2 linked regions of the Tamandua tetradactyla genome follow. The protein of the gene in region 2 purifies or fractionates together with the protein of the main gene of each other region. This does not show direct contact. Links are inferred from orthologs where the notes say so. Each region holds a gene or a part of one and is shown on either strand. Other genes may lie near its edges.

Region 1 (9,481 bases), on a different chromosome or scaffold from region 2:
GAGGACCAAAGCACATCACTAGATGGCTCAGTGCCGTGTGCTCTTATAAAACAGAGATGGTAACAGTACCTCCCTCACAGGATGGCCTGCCTGTTCCACCCTTCCATCTTCAGTTCTCTCTTCTTCATTCAGTCTGGTGGCTCCTGTAAAGGTGCATCCAGCTACTGGATGAATCTTCAAAGGCTTAGCTGCCAATGTAAGTCTAAGTGAGTCTAAATCCTTGGCAAGCGGTGAGGTCTCAAAATACACAAGACGGTCTCTGCCCACCAGGACCATCCAACTTTGAATGTGAAGACAGACACAGAGTGTTGGACTATGTGGAAGGAATTTTTTTTCATGTATTAAGTACCTTATAAGAGAAATCATCAACTGGTCCCATTTTACAGATAAGGAAACATAAACTCAGAGAGATTAAGGCCACACGGTTGTTAAGCAAAAGAATCTGGATTTGCTTCCAAGGCTGCCTGACTCCAAAGCCTGCCTTTTTCAGCACCTCCCCATGACACAGCCTAGGAAGCTGGTGTGAGAGCCTGGGGAAGTGCCCTCTTCTTCTGCTGGGGAGGGTCTCTATATGTCAAATGTTGTAGCTGTGAGGGTCAGATGGGAATGTCCCTGCTGGGGGTAGGCTGGCCTCCTGACTGTTCCCGATAACCGTCCTCCCCCACAACTCTCAAGGGAGGGAGAATGAGCTAAGGCTGCGAATTACACAAACCTGGCCTCTCATGGGGTGAGAGAGGCAGAGAGGACGTTTGGGGACAGAGGAGGTGTCTGTAAAGAGCGTGTAATAGGCTAGTGGACAGAATTCAGGAGACTCCTCTGAAGGAGGAGGGAGGGTGTGTCTGGGCCTGGCAGGATGCCCAGGCTGGCTCCAGAAGCACTTTCACCGAGGAGGGGAGTGATGAGTCACCAGCTTCCCCCACACCCAGCACCCTCGCAGGTGGTGTGCCACTCAGTTTGTTGAATGAATGTTGCCGAGAGAGGCTGGCTGCAGGGAGAAGAGGAAGCTAACTCGGGTCATTGCTAAATGACCAACCTTCAGCCAGAACCTCTGAAACCAAATCCAAATTAGGAGAAGGAGGAGCCCGGCAGTAGGCAAACGCTCCCCTTGGCCGGAATCCCAACTTCCCTGCCCTCATCTCGGTTGGTGTCCTTCTGCAGCATTAACAGCCTACAGCCTTGGACAGCTCCCCCTGGCCCGGGGTCGGCCTCTCCACCACCTCGGCGCACGGGACCTCTCTCTGGGGTTGCACTCAGCTCCCGCATTCCGCCAAGTTCGAGAACCCAAAGGGGCCACGCGGGAACTGGGAATGAAAGGAGGGGACGCAGGGAGGCGCCACGCACAAGGAGATCCCACTCCGGGAGCGACACATCCCGCGTCTCCCTCCCGAGGATGAGCGGACAAATGGGGCCTGGACAGGCGAAGAAACACAGACGAGCAAAGGGAGACAGGCAGGGGGCCGACCGCACGGACAAGGGTCAGACAGAAAAGCCCGGCCGAGACGCGGATAGGAGGCCCGGGTGATGGGGAGGTCTGGGTGTGGCCCGCCGGACCAGGAGACACTCACATTCGCGGCCATGGTAGGACCCGGCTTGCTGCCGCCGCCTCGATCTGCTCAACTAGATGATTGGTGGGCGACGGGAGCGTGGAGTCCGGTAGCCTGCTAGCCCGGAGTTGCGAAGGACCGCACGGTGCCAAAACAAGTCGATTCTTGCTACAGTTACCGCCCCGTGGCTCCATTCTGTCTGGGCATGCGCTCCGCAAGGCCTCCTGGAAAACGTAGTGCGAGCGGGGCTCAGAGTCGTGGGCGCTCGGCACAAAATTGCAGTACGCCCTTATCTCACTGGTGCGCCTGCGCGTTGCAAAGCTTTCTGGGAACCGTAGTTCTTACCGCTTGGCGAGCTACAGGGCGTTGGGTGGCCTGCTGGGAAGTGTAGTTTCCGGCTGAGGGGTCGGGCCGCGTCTGGGAGTGCGCGGAACAGGCGCGCCGCGGGCAGGCTTAGAGGGGGCGGGTCCGCGCGGGCTTTGGATCTGCGCGCTCAGCTTGAGGAGAGGTCACGGCGTGAAGTAGCCGCCACCGCCGCCACCGCCGCCGCCGCCGCTGCTGTTGCTGCGAGGTCTGAGCGCCGGGTAGAAGCGATGTCCTACTGCCGTCAGGAAGGTAGGGAGAGCAGGCGGGCAGGCTGCTATGGAGACCGGCCTACGAGGGCCCGCAGGGGACATGCCACTCAGGTCGCCCTCTTAGACCCCGGCGTCCGGCGATCCCACTACCAGCGTGGCCAACGCGAGGTGCAGCCAGGGGAGGGGTACCTTCTTCGCGTCCTGGAGCAGGTCAGCGGTGGGGTCGTCACCCTTACGTGCAGATGAGAAAGCCGAGGCTCTGGGAAGAACAGGGCTGGTCCAAGGTCATGGTAAGGTTCGAACCCCGGCCTTAGAGGGAGCCGCACTTGGGAGACTAGTAAACTAGGCCCGGAGGGTGTATGGGAAGTGCTGAGCACGTTGCCTGGCCCGTAATTGGAAGTTTATTGTTATTATTACTCACGTTCTCACTACGTACCACGTGTTTCCCATATTGCAAGCTTCTTGTAATTGTCCGTGAAATCTTTCCGCTCAGGTCGCGTGCTGTGTTATTGTAGCGTTAGTCCCACTAGTGGGAACATTTATTGAACTCCCACTGCTTATCAGGCATTGTTCAAGGAGCTTTACATGATTTATCTCATTGACCTCGCAGTGACCTGTCAGATTGTGTGACCCCATTTTACCGACTATATAGTAAACTAAAGGCACAGAGGGATTAAGTGATTTGGCCAAGGTCACGCAGCCAGAAAGTAGTGAGCTGGATTTTGAGTTCTGGCGATCTGATTCCAGAACTGGATTATCCAATCCGCAACCTTGTGGATTCCAGGAAGCCCGCTGCTGGGAAGATCTGTTCCCCCCACATGCCACAACATTGAACTCCACCCACACCCCTTTCTGCTCACTGTTGTTCCCTCTGCACAAGAGCTCAGAAGGCTGGGGGGCACCCAGGGGCCCACACACACACAGACACTAATTCCCTCCTAGTCCTAGAGCTGTCACTTAACCCAGTTTCCAGCCTTGTTAAATGAGAAGGTGGACTTCATTCATTCAACAGATGGTCATGAAAGGCCTTCTCTTTGCCAAGGAATGGTGGATACTTGAGAGTTTAAGACGCCATAGAAAGTTGGAACTCATCCAGAGATTTTTTGGCCCCCTCAGTTTCATTAAGGGAATGTGAAGCCCAAAGAAAAGGGGTTAGATCATGTAGCTAGTTAGGGACAGAGCTTCATCTAGAACTCCAGGCCTTTACTCCAGTACCCCCCTGCTTCTAGAATCCCTCTGAGTACTAGTTCCATTAATTAATAATTAATAACTGCTATAAAGAGAAATCCTTTGTTCATATGTTAGGTCTGTTGTCTTACTTTTAATTCCCATTCTCTGAGTTGCTAATTCACTTCTTCATTTAAAAAATAATAAAAATAATTTTCGAGCCTGTTAGGTGCAGTGAAGCTGTGCAGGTAAATAACACCTCTCCTTGTTCTTGAGGCGTTTACAGGGGTCACAGTTTCTCTGGGAAGGAGGGGCAGTGTCCTTCTGCCACCAAAGCATGGAGCTCTGTCATTTCCTGGTTCAAGGGTTTCTTCTCTTTCTTAGTTTGAGGATGAGAATTGGAAGCACTCACTTTCAAGCCTTCTTTAGTTTTTATCTTATCCATACTACCAGCCCCTAAAAAGCCCCCAGTTTTTTGTTTGTTTTTTTCTGCCTACTCATCTTTATGCTTTCTCTGGGACTTAGAAATATGATCCCAAACTCTTTACCCTATAAGTGCTTATGTGATCTTATCCCTCCCTTCACCTCCAGCCTCATCTTCCACTCCCTCCTTTCCCTGCTCTGCTCCCTCTAAGCTGGCTTCCTGGCTTGGCCCTTCCTCTGCCTGGAGCATCCTTCCCCCTGCTCTTCCATGCCTGGTTCCTCATTCTTTAAGGTTCATATCACATATCACCTCAGAAAGGCCTTTGTGTCTTCCATGAACTAAGTTCTCTGAAATACCTTGCTCATTTTTTGTCATTTTATTTCTTGCCTATCTTCTTCGACTGAGCTGAGAAAATTAGCTGGGCTGTATCCCAAGCATCTAACACGGTGCCTGGTAGACAGTAGGCACACAAATCTTGACTGAGTGAATTCATGCAAGTCTCTGTTCACCTTGATCTAATTTACTTTTGGAGTAATTACCCAGCCTTCAGGTAAAAGGCCTTAGCTTGGCATTCAAGGTGTTCTCCAGAGAGACTTAGCCTCCTTCTCAGGCCTTGGGCCACCCTCACTGCTCTTTGTCAGCCCCATCGTGTTCCTTTCTTGGTTTTCCTCATTTTCTAGTGTGGTTTCTCTTGTATTTGGTTAACAAACGTTTATTGAGTACCTACTATGGGCCATCCAGTGGCACATAATAGTTAGCAAAGGTAGCACAGTCTCTGTCCTCATGGCCTCCAGTGGAAGAGATGGACATTAAAACATCAACAGGTGAATGTGTAATTACAAACTGTGAAGAAAAAGTCCAGCATGCCATAATTTACAGAAAGGCTCTGCAGGGTCAAGGAAGGCTTCTAATCAGCTACAAATGCTATTCAATTTCATTCAATTCTTACTCTTCACTACCCACACACCACAGGTTAAAGACGGCCCCAGGCCAGTTACACTACTGGCTACAAATTTGCGGGTTTCTACCATCCTCTTGGGTTCAATAATGTGCTAGAATAATTCACAGAACTCACTGAAAGTGCTATACTTACTATTGTAGTTTTATTATTGTAAAAGAATACAGAGTAGAAGAATCCAAAAGAAGAGAAACATAGGGCAAGGTCTGAAAGGGTCTCAAATATAAGTTTCTGTGCCTTCCACTTGGAATCAAAACAGATCACCCTCCCAGCATAGCAGTGTATATTAAAATCCTGGACGCTCACTTGAGCTTCTGTTACCCTGAATTTATATGAGGTTTCATTATGCAGATATGAGAGCAAGCCTTTGGAAATTCCAAAGACTTAAGATGGTTACCTCCTAGGAGTCTGGACAAAGGTCAGACTTTTTTCTGGAGGCCAGCTACACAGCAGCTTAGGCTTCATGGTCAGAAATAGAGCGTGGAAGAGGGTGGTCTGGCTGACTCTGCCTGGCAAAGAAAGCAGGTGATTCTGAGCTAATTCTAGAGTTGGCCTTATGGAGGAACCCAACCTAAGAGTTTGATGTCCAAGGACAAAGGACTCCTACAGTTACCCTACACAGGGAGAGCAGAAAGGGATGGGGCTGAAGAGTGGATTAAGATGTATGTGAGGTTTTTCAATAGCCATACTATCAGAGCTGGTGAGTGCGCCTTCTCGAGGTTGAGCTCCAGATGCCTTTTTAGCCCAGGATGACTGTCCTATAATCATTCTAGCACGAAGGAATTGCTGCTACTTGGATTTGAGAACTATATTGGGCTCCAAAGGATAGGAATTCTTGTGGACCCCTCAGCCTTCTTTTATTTTTCTTCTATCGGTATGTTCTGTAAATGTCCAAGAAACCTACGCTTTGGTATAAACATTTGCTTGTAGTCTTAACTAACTCTAAAATGTAACAGATTTATGGATTGAATTCTAATAATATTCATTTTAACAGCATTAATTTATTCTGGTAGACGGTGTTTGAAATTTTTATTGTCTTCTTACAGAGTACTTGCTTCTCTGCCAGCATAGGACCTTTTCTGTTAACTGGGCCTATGCTGTTGTTATGTGAGGCCCACAGCTCTCCATGGGGGCTCTGCATGACTGGGACCCCTCTGCTCACCCTGCAGAGCCGTGATAGGGAGTCATCTGGCCGTCACTGGCTTCGAGGCACTAGTTCTGTGTTAAGGCCACCTCACTTTTCTCCCATGATCATTTAAGTCTGTTTGGAAGTCTAAAAGGGTATGACATGGTTATCTACATTCCTTCTGAATATGCTATGTCAGCATTGTGATTTTTTTTTAAGATTATCTTGGAAATAAAAACACAAGCATTTTTATTCATCCATAGAGAGTCCCTGAGAAATTTTGCGAGAAATACTCGGCTAGCTGATTACTTGAAGCCTTCTAACTCTACTAGTTGTCTGTCATGACTGTTTCCACAGTTTGGTATATTAAAGGTAAACAAGTTTGCATTTGCATCAGTGTCATTTTTTTTTTTTTCTGTGTGCTATGCGGTGGGGGTCACATTTCCATGTGAATATCCTATTATTGCACCATTATTGTTATTTTTTTCCAAGTGCATGGGCTGGGAGTTGAAGCTGGTCTCCTGCATGGCAGGTGAGAATTCTACCACTGAACACCTGTACATCCCAGTGTCACCTATCTTTAAATGCCCCAGGAAGCAGAGGTCTGGGTCCATACAGTCTATTGTGGTGGGACAGGTGTGCAGTGGGCAGTGTGTAAGGTGAGGTGAGTCCAGAGCATGCCAGGGTTCTTGTTCCTGCTCACCCTTCACTTGTCCATGGGTCTTTGGGTCAGTTCCTTACCACCTCTGAGCCTCCATTTCTTCAATCTCTGTTAAAAGATAAAAGCAAATCCCCACTTCATAGGATTGGTGTGAGGATTAAATGAGCCAGTGTAGGCAAAGTGCATTGCATAGGGTCTTTAGTTTTAAAAAGTTGTTATTCTGCTCACCTCCCTCTCCAGTGTGAACTGTGCTCTCAGGCGAGTGTCCAGAAGGAAACTGTGAGGACCTTGCTGTGTTGGAAAGATCTGAAACTTGGGGGGCCTGTGCCAGACTTTGTTGTATGTTGATCACCTCTGAAGCCTGGGAGCAATCTGGGCATGCCGGAGAGCTTGATTCTGCTTTTTCTGGGCCTTACCATCTGACCGGGGTGAGATCTTGGTAAACAAAACTATCAAAAGCTGAGAATTTGGTGTCAGCTTATTCTGCTTGGCTGTCAGCGTTTTTACTGACTGCTTTCAAGTGTTTTGTAGACTGTCCAGAATTGCCAGGGTCATCAGGTAGGTATGTTAACATGACTGACTGCCTGGCCCAAATCCTTTCCTAGGGCCATGGGGAAAAAGCATTCTAGTCTGGAATAACATGTGAGGTGTTGAGACGGAGACCAGAGCTGAGCACAGAAACCTCAGGTCAGGGTGGATGGGTTTTCCTATCACCTATTCTAAGAGCTCCTGCTTACTATTGTTAAAAGAAAAACTTTTCATGCAATTTAAGATCTCACAGCTGTATTGAGCAATTCCTCAATTGGGCAGCATCCCATTCAGAAAGCAGGGAGCTTCATTCAGGGAGTGGAAAGGGGAAGTATCTGATAAGCTATCTCTTCTGGACAGGTTTATCACCAGATATTACTTATCTGCAGTTTTCTGGGATCCATCCTTTGTTCCATTTTCTCAGAAAGTCCCTGTAGGTCAGTTGTTTTTGTCTTCTGAGAGATGAAATCCTTTCTCAGAAAGGGATCCCTTCTAGCTGTGCCCAATGCAGGCGACCTTTTTACTTTGCTTAAACTATCACCCATATGGAAGTCCCTGTGCAGGTATGGAAAGGGTAAAGCACAAAGGGGGCCTTCCCCCTGTCCCTTGAACTGCACTCACTGGAAGAGTCACTCTGATTTTTATTGCCACCCTTGTGCCCTCCTCCAGCCTCTTAAATATTCCAGTCCCAAGCATGGGCTCCAACCTTTTACCTTGGTTTTCCTTAGCATACCTGTGGCAGAACTTTCTTGAAGGAAAACAAAACAGCAATAATCACAGAAAATGCTAGCAGCTTCCAGAGAGCTGCATTTCTGTAGACCTGCTCTCTGCCTCCATGGTAGCTGACCCTCTCAGTGACCAGGGCACTGCCTCTAGCTCCTCTGTCCAGGGGCTCTTTTGGAGGTATCTGAAGAAGTCTTCCTAAACACTAGGGATCACCCATCCCGTAGTAGATAAGGGGCCTATGATCCCAGATCATCTGGGGTCAGAATGGAGAGCCATTAGGGCCATGAAATTTATCCTTGCCCTCTATCAGGTAGGTACCCAGAAAGATCTATTTATTCACTTAATTCTAAGTTTGTGACGGATTGGATCAATATTTATTGTAGGAAGCATTTATTAATGCCAAGGCACACAAAGCTCTCAGGCTGATAAGTATTTCTGGGTGTGGAAAGGATCTCCACACTGTGGATGTGAGAGACAGAGCTGGGTCCACATTCCAGCTGTGCCACTTGCTATGTGAGCTTGAGCAATTCAATTCCAGAGCCTTAGGCTCGCTCTTGTAACATGGGGGTACCACTAGCTGTCACCTTCCCAGGGGTGTGAGAGAGTTGGTGGGATGCAGAGATGGACTGACCCCGTCCCTGCCTTCTGGGGACAGTAGGGGAAGCCACTGAGCATGCAGTGCTCTGAGTACTAAGGTAATAGGCAAGGTGCTTATCTTACAAAATGGGGATATCTTACAAAAACCACCATGTGGGAAGCTGATGCCCAAAGTTTTTAGGAAGGTATGAGGTTACGTGGCATACCCACATGTAGTAGTTAGATTCAGTTGTCAACTTGGCCAGGTGACAGTGCCTAGATCTATTGTTGTGGACATGAGCCAATGACGTATGAACCTCATCTGTTGCTGATTACATCTGCAGTCGGCTAGGAGGCATGCCTGCTGCAATGAATGATGTTTGATTTAATTGGCTGGTGCTTAAATGAGAGCGCTCACTGTAGCACAGCCCAAGCAGCTCAGCATACCTCATCTCAGCACTCGCAGCTCAGCCCAGGCCTTTGGAGGTGCAGAAAGAAATCACCCTGGGGAAAGTTGTTGGAACCCAGAGGCCTGGAGAGAAGGCCAGCAGAGATCACCCTGTGCCTTCCCACATGAGAAAGAACCTCAGTTGCAAGTTAGCTGCCTCTCCTCTGAAGAACTAACAAAATAAATCCCCTTTTATTAAAAGCCAGTCCGTCTGTGGTGTGTTGCCTTCTGGCAGCTAGCAAACTAGAACAGCATGAGTCACTCTAGGGTTTCACATGGGACTTTCTTCCAACTTAGTTATGTGGCTGCTTTGGATTTAAGGGTACTTCAACTACTTTTAAATAAACATGTCTTCCTCTGTCCTCCAAACACCAGGGAAGGATCGAATCATATTTGTGACCAGAGAAGACCATGAAACTCCCAGCAGTGCAGAGCTGGTGGCTGATGACCCTAATGATCCATACGAGGAGCATGGTGAGTGGTGGATGTCCTGGGAACACAGCATGAACTGGGTGGGAATTTGGTGATCATAATTCCTTTCCCATTTTGTCCTTGCCAAGGCTACATTTCAAGGTATCCATTGTAGAGTTAGGGAGCAGTCCACAGGACCACCTTAGATTCTGATAATTTGCTAGAAGGACTAATAAAACTCACTGAAAGCTGTTATACTTATGGTTTTGTTTTATTATAGTGAAAGGAGACAGATTAAAATCAGCCGAGGGAAGAGGTACATTGGGGCAGAGCCCAG
Region 2 (8,826 bases):
GTTTCTTGGGGGGTGCATGGTCCAGGAATCGAACCCGGGTCTCCTTCATGGAAGGCAAGCATTCTACTACTGAACCACCCATGTACCCACTCACATTTGTTTTTATATGAGTAGTTACTTTTGCAATAGTATCATATTTTTAGTCTGAGACACATGTTTTTTCATTTTAACATCACTGAAATTAGCACCTGTTACATTCCCTTTCAGCAATTTTAGCACCTTTCAATGTGTCTTGCAGTTAATAAGGGCTTTGATTTAACAAAACAGGGTAACGTTAAACAAATTTTCTTTATTTAAAAAAAAATAAAAGGCATGGCAAAGAGCACTAAGTGCTGACAGGACAGATCAGGACAAAAAGGACTGCAAAATGGTGGTATTCTAAAGAGATCCATACTAAAGGAGGAGAGGGTGAAATTACATGTCTGAGATTTGCTTTAGAATACTTCACCAGAAGAAAAGTTGGGGGGGGGGGTAACTGACAGATGAGGCAAATGCAGAAAATCATTGTAACTATTCAGTTCGAATGATGGCCATATTTGGGATCAATGAACTACTCTAATTTTACATATATTTGAAAATACTTATAAAAAAGACAAGAGAAGCTCACAGGTACAGAGGCCTGATACTGAGTATGAATTTGAAAAGTGAGAAAGATGGTTCCAGCAAGGAGACAGCTCTGGTGGTCATGGCTGAGAGCCCTCCCTGGCTAAGAGGTGTCAGAGAAGGGAGGCAATTCCGGGAAGGGGAAACAGCAAAAGCCCTGTAGACAATGTTATACCTTGTCTTCCCTTGTCCCTTAGAGATGAGCTCCCGCCAAGTCACCACACTCTCCTCTGCTCGGACCTGCCCCTGCATCCCAAGAGTCCCAACAGGAAGCACCTACCCAGGATATGGGGCAGAGGGACTTATACACACGCCGGTACCATTCACACACGGAGACGTCACCCCCTTTATCAGTCATTGCCTTCTCGCAGCGGTGGAAGTCTGTAAAGAAAGGGGTTCAGGGTCATTTCTGAACACACTTCTGACCAAAACTCACAGCGGGAAATATTTTATACCTCATGATCAGTCTCACACACACACACATATTGAAAATAGAAGTTTCACAAAGAAACAAATCCATTAAAAAGGGCTGAGCACAACTCACTAAACTGATTTTGTAATCCACTAGAGAACTGTTGCCTGACTTGTAAACACTGGGATCAGGAATGATGGGGAAGCATTAGCACACAGATTATGGAGCCCAAAACCAGGGCAAGGGAAGGGGAAAATGATCTTGACGATAAGGTGCTGGGAGTTCCAGAGAGGAAGGCGGGAAAGGAATAATCTGTTTTTTTTTAAAATAGGTAATTCATTAAAATAAAAACAAACAAAAATAAATTAAAAACAAACAAACAAAAAGGCAATTCACTCCTGGGCACATTTCCTAGACAGGAATGCATGCACACAGCATTGGATTACATTTCTATGAATGTTTATAGCAGCCCTATTCATCAAAGCCCCAAACTGAAAGCCACACAAGTGTACATGGAAAGAACTGTGGAATACTGTATACCACAGCATATAAGATTCCTGAACTGAATGAAGAAAGCCAAAAAGAACACAGAGTACTATAAAGTTCACAAAGGGGCAAACTTAAAACAAGGAGGTAAAACCAAAAATGTGATATAATATTGAATATTGGTTACACTTCTAGTAGGGGGAGGGAGTTGTGCTCAAGATGGAGCATGTAGTGGTTGGGGAGTTTAGAGTACTAGCAACATTCTATTTTTCTATCCAGGTTATGGCCGTACAGGGGTTCACTTTAGAATTATTGTTTTAGCTTACATTATGTTTTACATATGTTTCATTACACACACACAAACACACACACACATACACTTAAAAATCATTGTAAGAACCAAAGTTTGTGACTGGTTCAGATGCTGAGGTGATTGTTAATGAGGGCATGGGCCCTCCAGGGTTATGATGTTCAGAATAAAAGTAGCGTCCAGGACCAGTGTTAAGGTGCATGGGTCCTCTAGGAGTAGGTAAGAGGTGAGGGACTTGAGGATTGGGACTAGGGGAAGGTCTGCACTTTCCCATGACCACACCCTTCTTACCCAGGTAGTTCTGCCAGCAGTTCCTGGTCTGGTTCTGGTTGGGGAAGCGGCTGTCAAAAGGGGCAGTTCTGTAGTTCTTAATTTTGGTCTTGATGTCTTCTGCCATGATGCTGACTCCTGGAGGCAAAGTGGGTGGACGTTGGTAAGGGTTGGAGGGCTTAGACATGGGCATCTCAGCCCACCCAGGACCAAATGAGGCCCAAATCCAGAAAATTGGGCTGAGTATAAAGAAGTCATCACTCCCCTCCCCTAACACACACACTCACACACAAGTGAACTGCAGGGCCAATCCATACATCTGGTGTGGAAGTCATAACAGGTTGGGGCAAACCCTTAGCAAAATCAAGTCTCTTATCCCAAATAATACTAGCTACATTACTGAATAAATTTACAGGCCAGATGCTGTTCAACATACTTGACTCCTCTAACAGCCTCTGTATAAGGTCAGAACTATTACTATCCCCATTTCTTGACAAGGAAGGAATCAGACATCTAAGTGACTTCCCAAGGTCATGCCACACACAACTGATGGGGCTGTACTCAGTTACTGGACTACCATACACTGCAGAGGTTCTTAATCTTTTTGGTGCTATGAACTGCTCTGGGGTTTGATTAATCCTACAAACCGCATTCTCAGAATATGTTTAAATGCATTAAAAACTGCACTGGGTCAAAAAGAAAACCAGTTATATCTAGCTGTAGATTTATTAACTGCCATAGTATTGATTTAACCACAAGTAAAACTATTTTGTGATATCTGCAACAACTAATGTGATATAAGAACATCTGTGATTTCAAATGGTGACAAAAGTCACAGGTGCCAGAAGCATCACAGCAGTAATAACCATGCTTCTGAGATTGTTGCCTCCATTCCAAAGGGAAGGAAATGGTACATTTCAATTGGAGGCCAGCAAAAACAGATATAATTTTTTCCCCATTTAACCACTAGCACTCCTTGAAACCTATTAGTTCTGTGGACGTAGGGTTAAAATTTGATATTATGTCTCTAAAAAAGGGACACACAGTAGCCATGGAACCTATGAGAAATGGCCTCTGTATTCCAGAAATTCAAGGAGTCATGGACTACATAGAGGTGCATCGGCCGGTGTCCAATTCAAGCGGCCCAAGGCAGTGTTGGGGCTCTGGTAGCACTAAACAGTCCTTCCGGAGAGGGAGGACTATAAAACACCAGCCGCTGGGACAGAGTCGTCTAAAGAGCTTCGGGTGATATCTCGACCCAATATGTGGGGGTGTTGGTGGATCCGGAACGACGCTGCGGTCCCTCCAACGTGCAAGGGGGAAGCGGGATCAGCCACCAGGGAGTCAAGCTGCGGCTCAAACAAAACCCCGGGGGTCACGCCCGCGGCTTGGTGATTAAGAGCAATGCAGTCCAAATTAATGGGTCTAAACCCTAGTAGCTACGGCCTCGACTAAGAAGCTTATTATCTCTCAGCCTCAGTCAGGGTTGGGGGTAAGATTAAAGAATCAATCTAACTAAATCGCCTGGAAGGTTGCTGGGCAATAAGGAAGAACTCCACAAACGTTAGTTGTTATTATTAACAGAACAACCAAGGCCCGGGGCTGGCACACTGGGATGTAGGACGCCACCAGCTGGAACCCTCATCCCGTTCTCGGGGAAGTGGGGTTCGGTTCCCCAAGCCCCCATACTAGGGTCCCAGGTATCTGAGCCCCCACACTCACCTAGCAGCGCCTCTGAAGCTGCTCGCTGCTCAATGTGACCCTCAGCCCAAACGTCTGTCTAGGACCGGAAGCGGAATTAAGACTGGCCGGAAGTGCGGCGAAGCCGGGTACTGGGTAGTCTACAGCGCGCCTACAGCGCGTATGGGTAGCCGAGTCCCGGAAGTCACTCTGGGCCCGCCCATCCTTCGAACTCCGACATCCCATTGGGCTTTGAAATGCATGTTTAACATCACTACCGGGACAAAAGAGAGTTCGTGTGGCTCTTCAGATAACTAGGAGCAGCAGTTGGGGACGCCAAATTACAGGCTCTCTTCACCTTGACTGTATCAGGGGGAAAGATTTCTGAGTCCCGGGACTGGCTGGAGAGAAGACTGTCTCGGGGAGAATGTCCCAGAAGAGGTGCTTTTATTCATGCAAGAAATATTTATTGAGCGTTTATCCTGAGCCAGACTCTTGTGTAAGTTTTGGGGATACATTATTGTACAAAATACAAAACCCCCATCCTTATTATGATTGTTACGGGGTTGATTGTCATACCACGACAATCAACGAACTAATCGCTTGAAACGAATTAATCTCTTTCCTGGGGTCATTGACTGGATTGTCCAGACCCTACATTCCCTTCCCAAATCTAATCTCGTTCACTCTGCCTTAAAATATGTATCTAGAGTCCTCCCCTGCCAAATTTGGTTCACGCCACCGTCAACTCCATCATGGACTATTGCAGTAGTCTCTGCCTGGCCTTCTGGCTTCTCTGCTGACCTCCACATTTTGTCTAACCAGCCACAAGAACTCTGTTGACACCTGTGTCATATTACATCCCTCCTCAGTCCAGAATTTACCCCGGCTGCTGGTCTGACTCCGAGCAAAAGCTAAAGTCCTTACAAATGGCCTACACAATCTACTTGCCTCATCCCCTCGCCCCCAATATTCTCATCTACCCTTCTCACTGCACTAGCCACATTGACTTTGCAGTTTCTTAAACGTACAGGCTAGCTTCCCCCCAAGGGCCTTTGCACTTGCTGTTTCTTTGGCTTAGAATGCTGTTCCTGCAGATGGCTCCCTCCCTTATCTCCTTTGCTCAAATGTCTCTGAGAGTCTTTCTCAGATTTCCCTTCCCTACTTTATTGTTACACAGCACTTATCTCTTCGTGTATTATAGTACTTACTATAGCCTTCCTTTTTTTTAATTTTTTTTAAATGTTTACCTCTTATTTATCTCTCTCATTAGGATAGAAGCACCATAAAGGAGCTATTTTTGTCTGTCTTATTCACCATTGTGACTCCAGCACCTACAACAATGCTTGGCACATAGAATGTGCTCTATAAATTAATGAATGCATTTCTTGTATGAATGAAGGGGGAATCTGAGAGCTGGGAGAAGGAGTTGTGAAAGCACACTGCTTTTCTCCCTCCTCTCAGCGTGGCTTCTAAGCTTCCCACATACTGTCTTGGGTGCAGTGTCCAGGTCTAACTAGGTCAGGGGCCTCTCATACATTCTGTGTTTATCAATGTTGAAATTATTTGTGAACCTACCTGTTCACATGTCTGCATCCACCCACCCACCACCACCTTTCAATGAAATCTTCCTAAAGCTGAAACTACTCCTCTATTTAACTCCTCCATGGCTTTAGATCCTATGTGAGCTGGCCCATATTCCCAAGCCACATTCCCAATTCCTTGAACAGTAAGAACAGTGCTATGAGATCTTCACCTGCAGGCCTTTGTTCATGCTGTTCTCCCTGCCTGGAACACTCTTTAATTAGCTGACTTCTCAGATCAGCGGACTCCCCTATCTGGACCCCTCCCCCACATTCCAGGTCAAGTTTTTCTTTTTAGGCTCCCTCAACCCCCTGGGGTTCCCCATCCCTGCCCTGACCAATCTGGATTGCCCCTGTCTGGCAATGGTTTTATCTCCACCTTGGACTGTGAGCTCCCTGAGGGCAGGTCTCTGGGCTGCCATGACCATTGCTGTATCCCAGCACTGTCCACAGTAGGGGAACATAGTAGGCTTTCTTTCAGGACTGGATCTGAGTCCTCAGTGGTTCCCAGAATGGGGTAGTACCCAGTAGGGTCTCCTAGGTCCGAGTTCTATGTTCCCTAGTCTGGGTTGGGGAAACAGATTAGGTGGTGTGGAGGGACAAGCACCAGGTCTAATTTCTTCATGGTCCCCAGCACTGAGAGGGCACACTAAGCTCTTTTTGGAGTTCTGAGTCTTAGTCCTCTCTATGCCCTCTCTAGGGCCAACACAGTTAGTGATTGTGTCTGATTCCTTTACCTGTCCCAACACAGGGCAGGCACACAGTAGGCCCTAGAGGCACTGGATCTAATTCCCTTGTAGGTCACATCACAGTGTGGGCACACAATTGGCCCCCTAAAAGGCTGGGTCTGTTTTGCTCACCCTTGTTTCTCGATGGCCCAGCAGCGGGTGTGGTGGTGCACACGTAGGTACCCCAGCGGGGGCGGGTCTGTTCAGTGTCAGTGGGAAGAACACAGATGAGAACGCGCTACAAGGCTTGATGGGATATTTTTTATTTGGTCACAGCTCTCTGTCCGCCTTAGTGCGGTCCCGCTAGGCCAAGCCGGGCACGCAGCCTCCGAAACGGTACGTGTACTTGCGCCCACCGCTCTTTCGCACGATGTCGCGGCGGTAGTAGTAGCGCAGGCCGCGACTTAGCTTTTCATAATTCATTCCGGGTTTCCTCTTGCGCTCGCCCCAGAGACGCGCCACCTGGGACGGAGGCGGGGCTGAGTCAGAAAGGGCAGGAAAGGGGGCGGGACCTAGTGATTGGGTAGGAGGAGCGGGGCCAGGATACAGAAAACACCCCTGACAAGGATGGGGTCGAAGCTCCCGATGAGGCTGGCAGAGGGTTGGACGGGACCTAGCCCAGGAGACGCTGGGTGCGGGGCCAAGACTAGGTAGGGTGAATGGAACTGCAGGATTGAGCAAGACGAGGGTAGAGCCGGACCGACCAGGGCTGGAGAGCGACCGCACCTCTTTGGGGTCGCAAAGCTGGAATTCGCGACTGTTCCCCGTCCAGCGGATGCAGCTGCTGCGCGACCCATCGCGGAGCAGCTCTAGGAGAAACTGCCACAGCTGAATGGGACCTGAGGGATGGGAGGCGGGTGAGAGGTTTTCTGGCCCCAGTCCACGCCACTTGGGTGACCCAGGAGTCCCCTCTTTGATGGGGACTCCAAGAGTGCCTCGAGGACCCAGGCTTCGGGGCCCTCTTTTCTTTCACAAAATCCAGTAGCCTGTGTGCCATCCCCTCGCTCTCTAGAAGCCTACCAGTGTCTGACAGCCTTCTCCTCCCTCAGGACCCAGACCTGAAAACCACCATCCCCTCTTCTCTCCTGCACTGAGGTACTTCAGCCCCGCCCCCCTCGCTACCAGTTTTCCCGGTCCCGCCCCCTACGCCCCAAAGTTAGGTTATCTCTAGACTCCCTGCAGGACACAGTCTTCGCGGTCCTCTCACCTCGGTGGTTAGTTTTGGGGTAACAAGTTAATGTGGGACGGTCCGACTGCTGGCTTTGCTCGGAGGAAATGCAGTCTGAACTCTGGTGCCTCTGGGAAGAGGCCATGCAAGCCGTCTGCGGTCCCAGGTCCCAGGAAGTGGTACAGTCCGAGCCCTCAGGCCCGTCGCACGAAATGGTATAGTCCACGCGCGACTCCCTACCGAGGCCCTCATCCCAGTAGGTGGCGGCATCGGGGCCGACAGAACATCGGGGCCAGCTGGGGATGCTCCCGGCCGTGTGGGCGTGAGACCAAGACGCTGCCCCTGCCGCCAAGGTGCTCCTGTCTAGGCCCGCCGGCCCTTCAGAGCCCGCGAAGTGGGAGGTGACGGGGTCCGGAGGGGCGATGCCCAGGATCTGGGAGACGGGGCTCCGAGGGTCAGCGCCGAGACGCGCCAGGTCGGTCCTGTCTCCTGACCAGGCAAGAGCCGGCAGGGTGGGCTCTGTGTGGAGGAACACACCCCAAGTGAGGGGACTTTAGATGTCCAGGCCCCGGATCCCTTGGGGCTTCTTGGATTCTAAGCTCCAAGCCTCGGTCCCCGCTCCCGATTCCTTGGGGTGGTGGAGGCCGTTACCCTGATTCAGGCTGTGCTACTTTGAGGACACAGGCATCCATAGTCCCAGCCCTGTTCCCCCTTAAAGATCGGGGAAGTTAAGCTTGCAGGCCCAGTGCTTCAGGACCGCCATCCCCCACCTCTCCAAACACTCACCAGTTGCCCATGTAGTGTCTGTTTGTGGTAACGCGGAGCCCCAGTCCAACTGTGGGAACCCTGTCAGGGATAAGATGGTGGGGAAGGTGTGAGCAATGACTAGGGACTAACCGCCCCCCACCCAGGAATTAGTGCTCCAGGACCCACTTACTCAGAACTAGGACTCTGAGACCCCTCCACCTTCAACCTCAGGAGTCCAAGCATGCAGCCTCTTTCCCACTCAGACCCAGGAGCCCAGCTTCCCCCCTTTCTTCCCAGTACTCAGGGGGCCCAGCCTGAAGCTACCTTTCCAGCATGTCTCCACTGTCAGCCTGTCCCCTTGGAGTGCCAGTTCAGGGAAATAGAAGCCAAGTTCAGCTCCTGCTGCAGGCAATGAGGAAGTTAGGTTTAGGTCAGGTGTCAACAGACCCCACCACAGGACCCCATCTAGGCACCCTTTCCACACACTGTCTCAGCCCCAGCAACTTATGCAGACCTGAGATCCTGTTCCCTGGAGGCAGTTCCTGTGGTGATGCTTCATCCCAGTTCCACAAATCCATGGATGCTTGTTTGGAATGTTCTGGGCCAAGAAAGGTGAAAGAGCAAAAGGTGAGCTGGTGGCACTTAGAGACTCCAGATGGGACCCAGCTCTTGCTTTCTTTAGACCCAGGAGTCCAGGCCTCTGCTCTTTCCCCCCCTGAGACCCTGGAATCTTGGTCTCCAGTCCCCTTTTTCCCTGGACCAGAAGGCAGGGACCTCCGTCTTCCTCAGGCCCAGGAGTCTCAGCCCCCAATCTCTTGGGAATCTACGCCTTCAGCCCT

The links.
Region 1: the proteins of COX6B1 (region 2) and CHCHD4 purify together in Homo sapiens (co-immunoprecipitation; 3 studies listed by BioGRID and IntAct, with this or other methods). This does not show direct contact. The link is inferred for Tamandua tetradactyla from reciprocal best matches to the Homo sapiens genes COX6B1 and CHCHD4.

The regions. Positions count from the first base shown.
Region 1 is NC_135335.1:33,896,682-33,906,162, reverse strand, and holds the start of CHCHD4 (mitochondrial intermembrane space import and assembly protein 40), read left to right. Parts: upstream 1-6,057; 5' UTR 6,058-6,135; coding exon 6,136-6,166; intron 6,167-9,108; coding exon 9,109-9,207; intron 9,208-9,481. Other genes in the region: TMEM43 (transmembrane protein 43), read right to left, coding at 1,566-1,577.
Region 2 is NC_135342.1:30,360,998-30,369,823, forward strand, and holds the start of COX6B1 (cytochrome c oxidase subunit 6B1), read right to left. Parts: upstream 3,939-8,826; 5' UTR 3,804-3,938; intron 2,220-3,803; 5' UTR 2,209-2,219; coding exon 2,103-2,208; intron 985-2,102; coding exon 884-984; intron 1-883. Other genes in the region: ETV2 (ETS translocation variant 2), read right to left, coding at 6,376-6,534, 6,799-6,911, 7,280-7,759, 8,027-8,086, 8,312-8,389, 8,502-8,565. UniProt on the Homo sapiens protein: Component of the cytochrome c oxidase, the last enzyme in the mitochondrial electron transport chain which drives oxidative phosphorylation.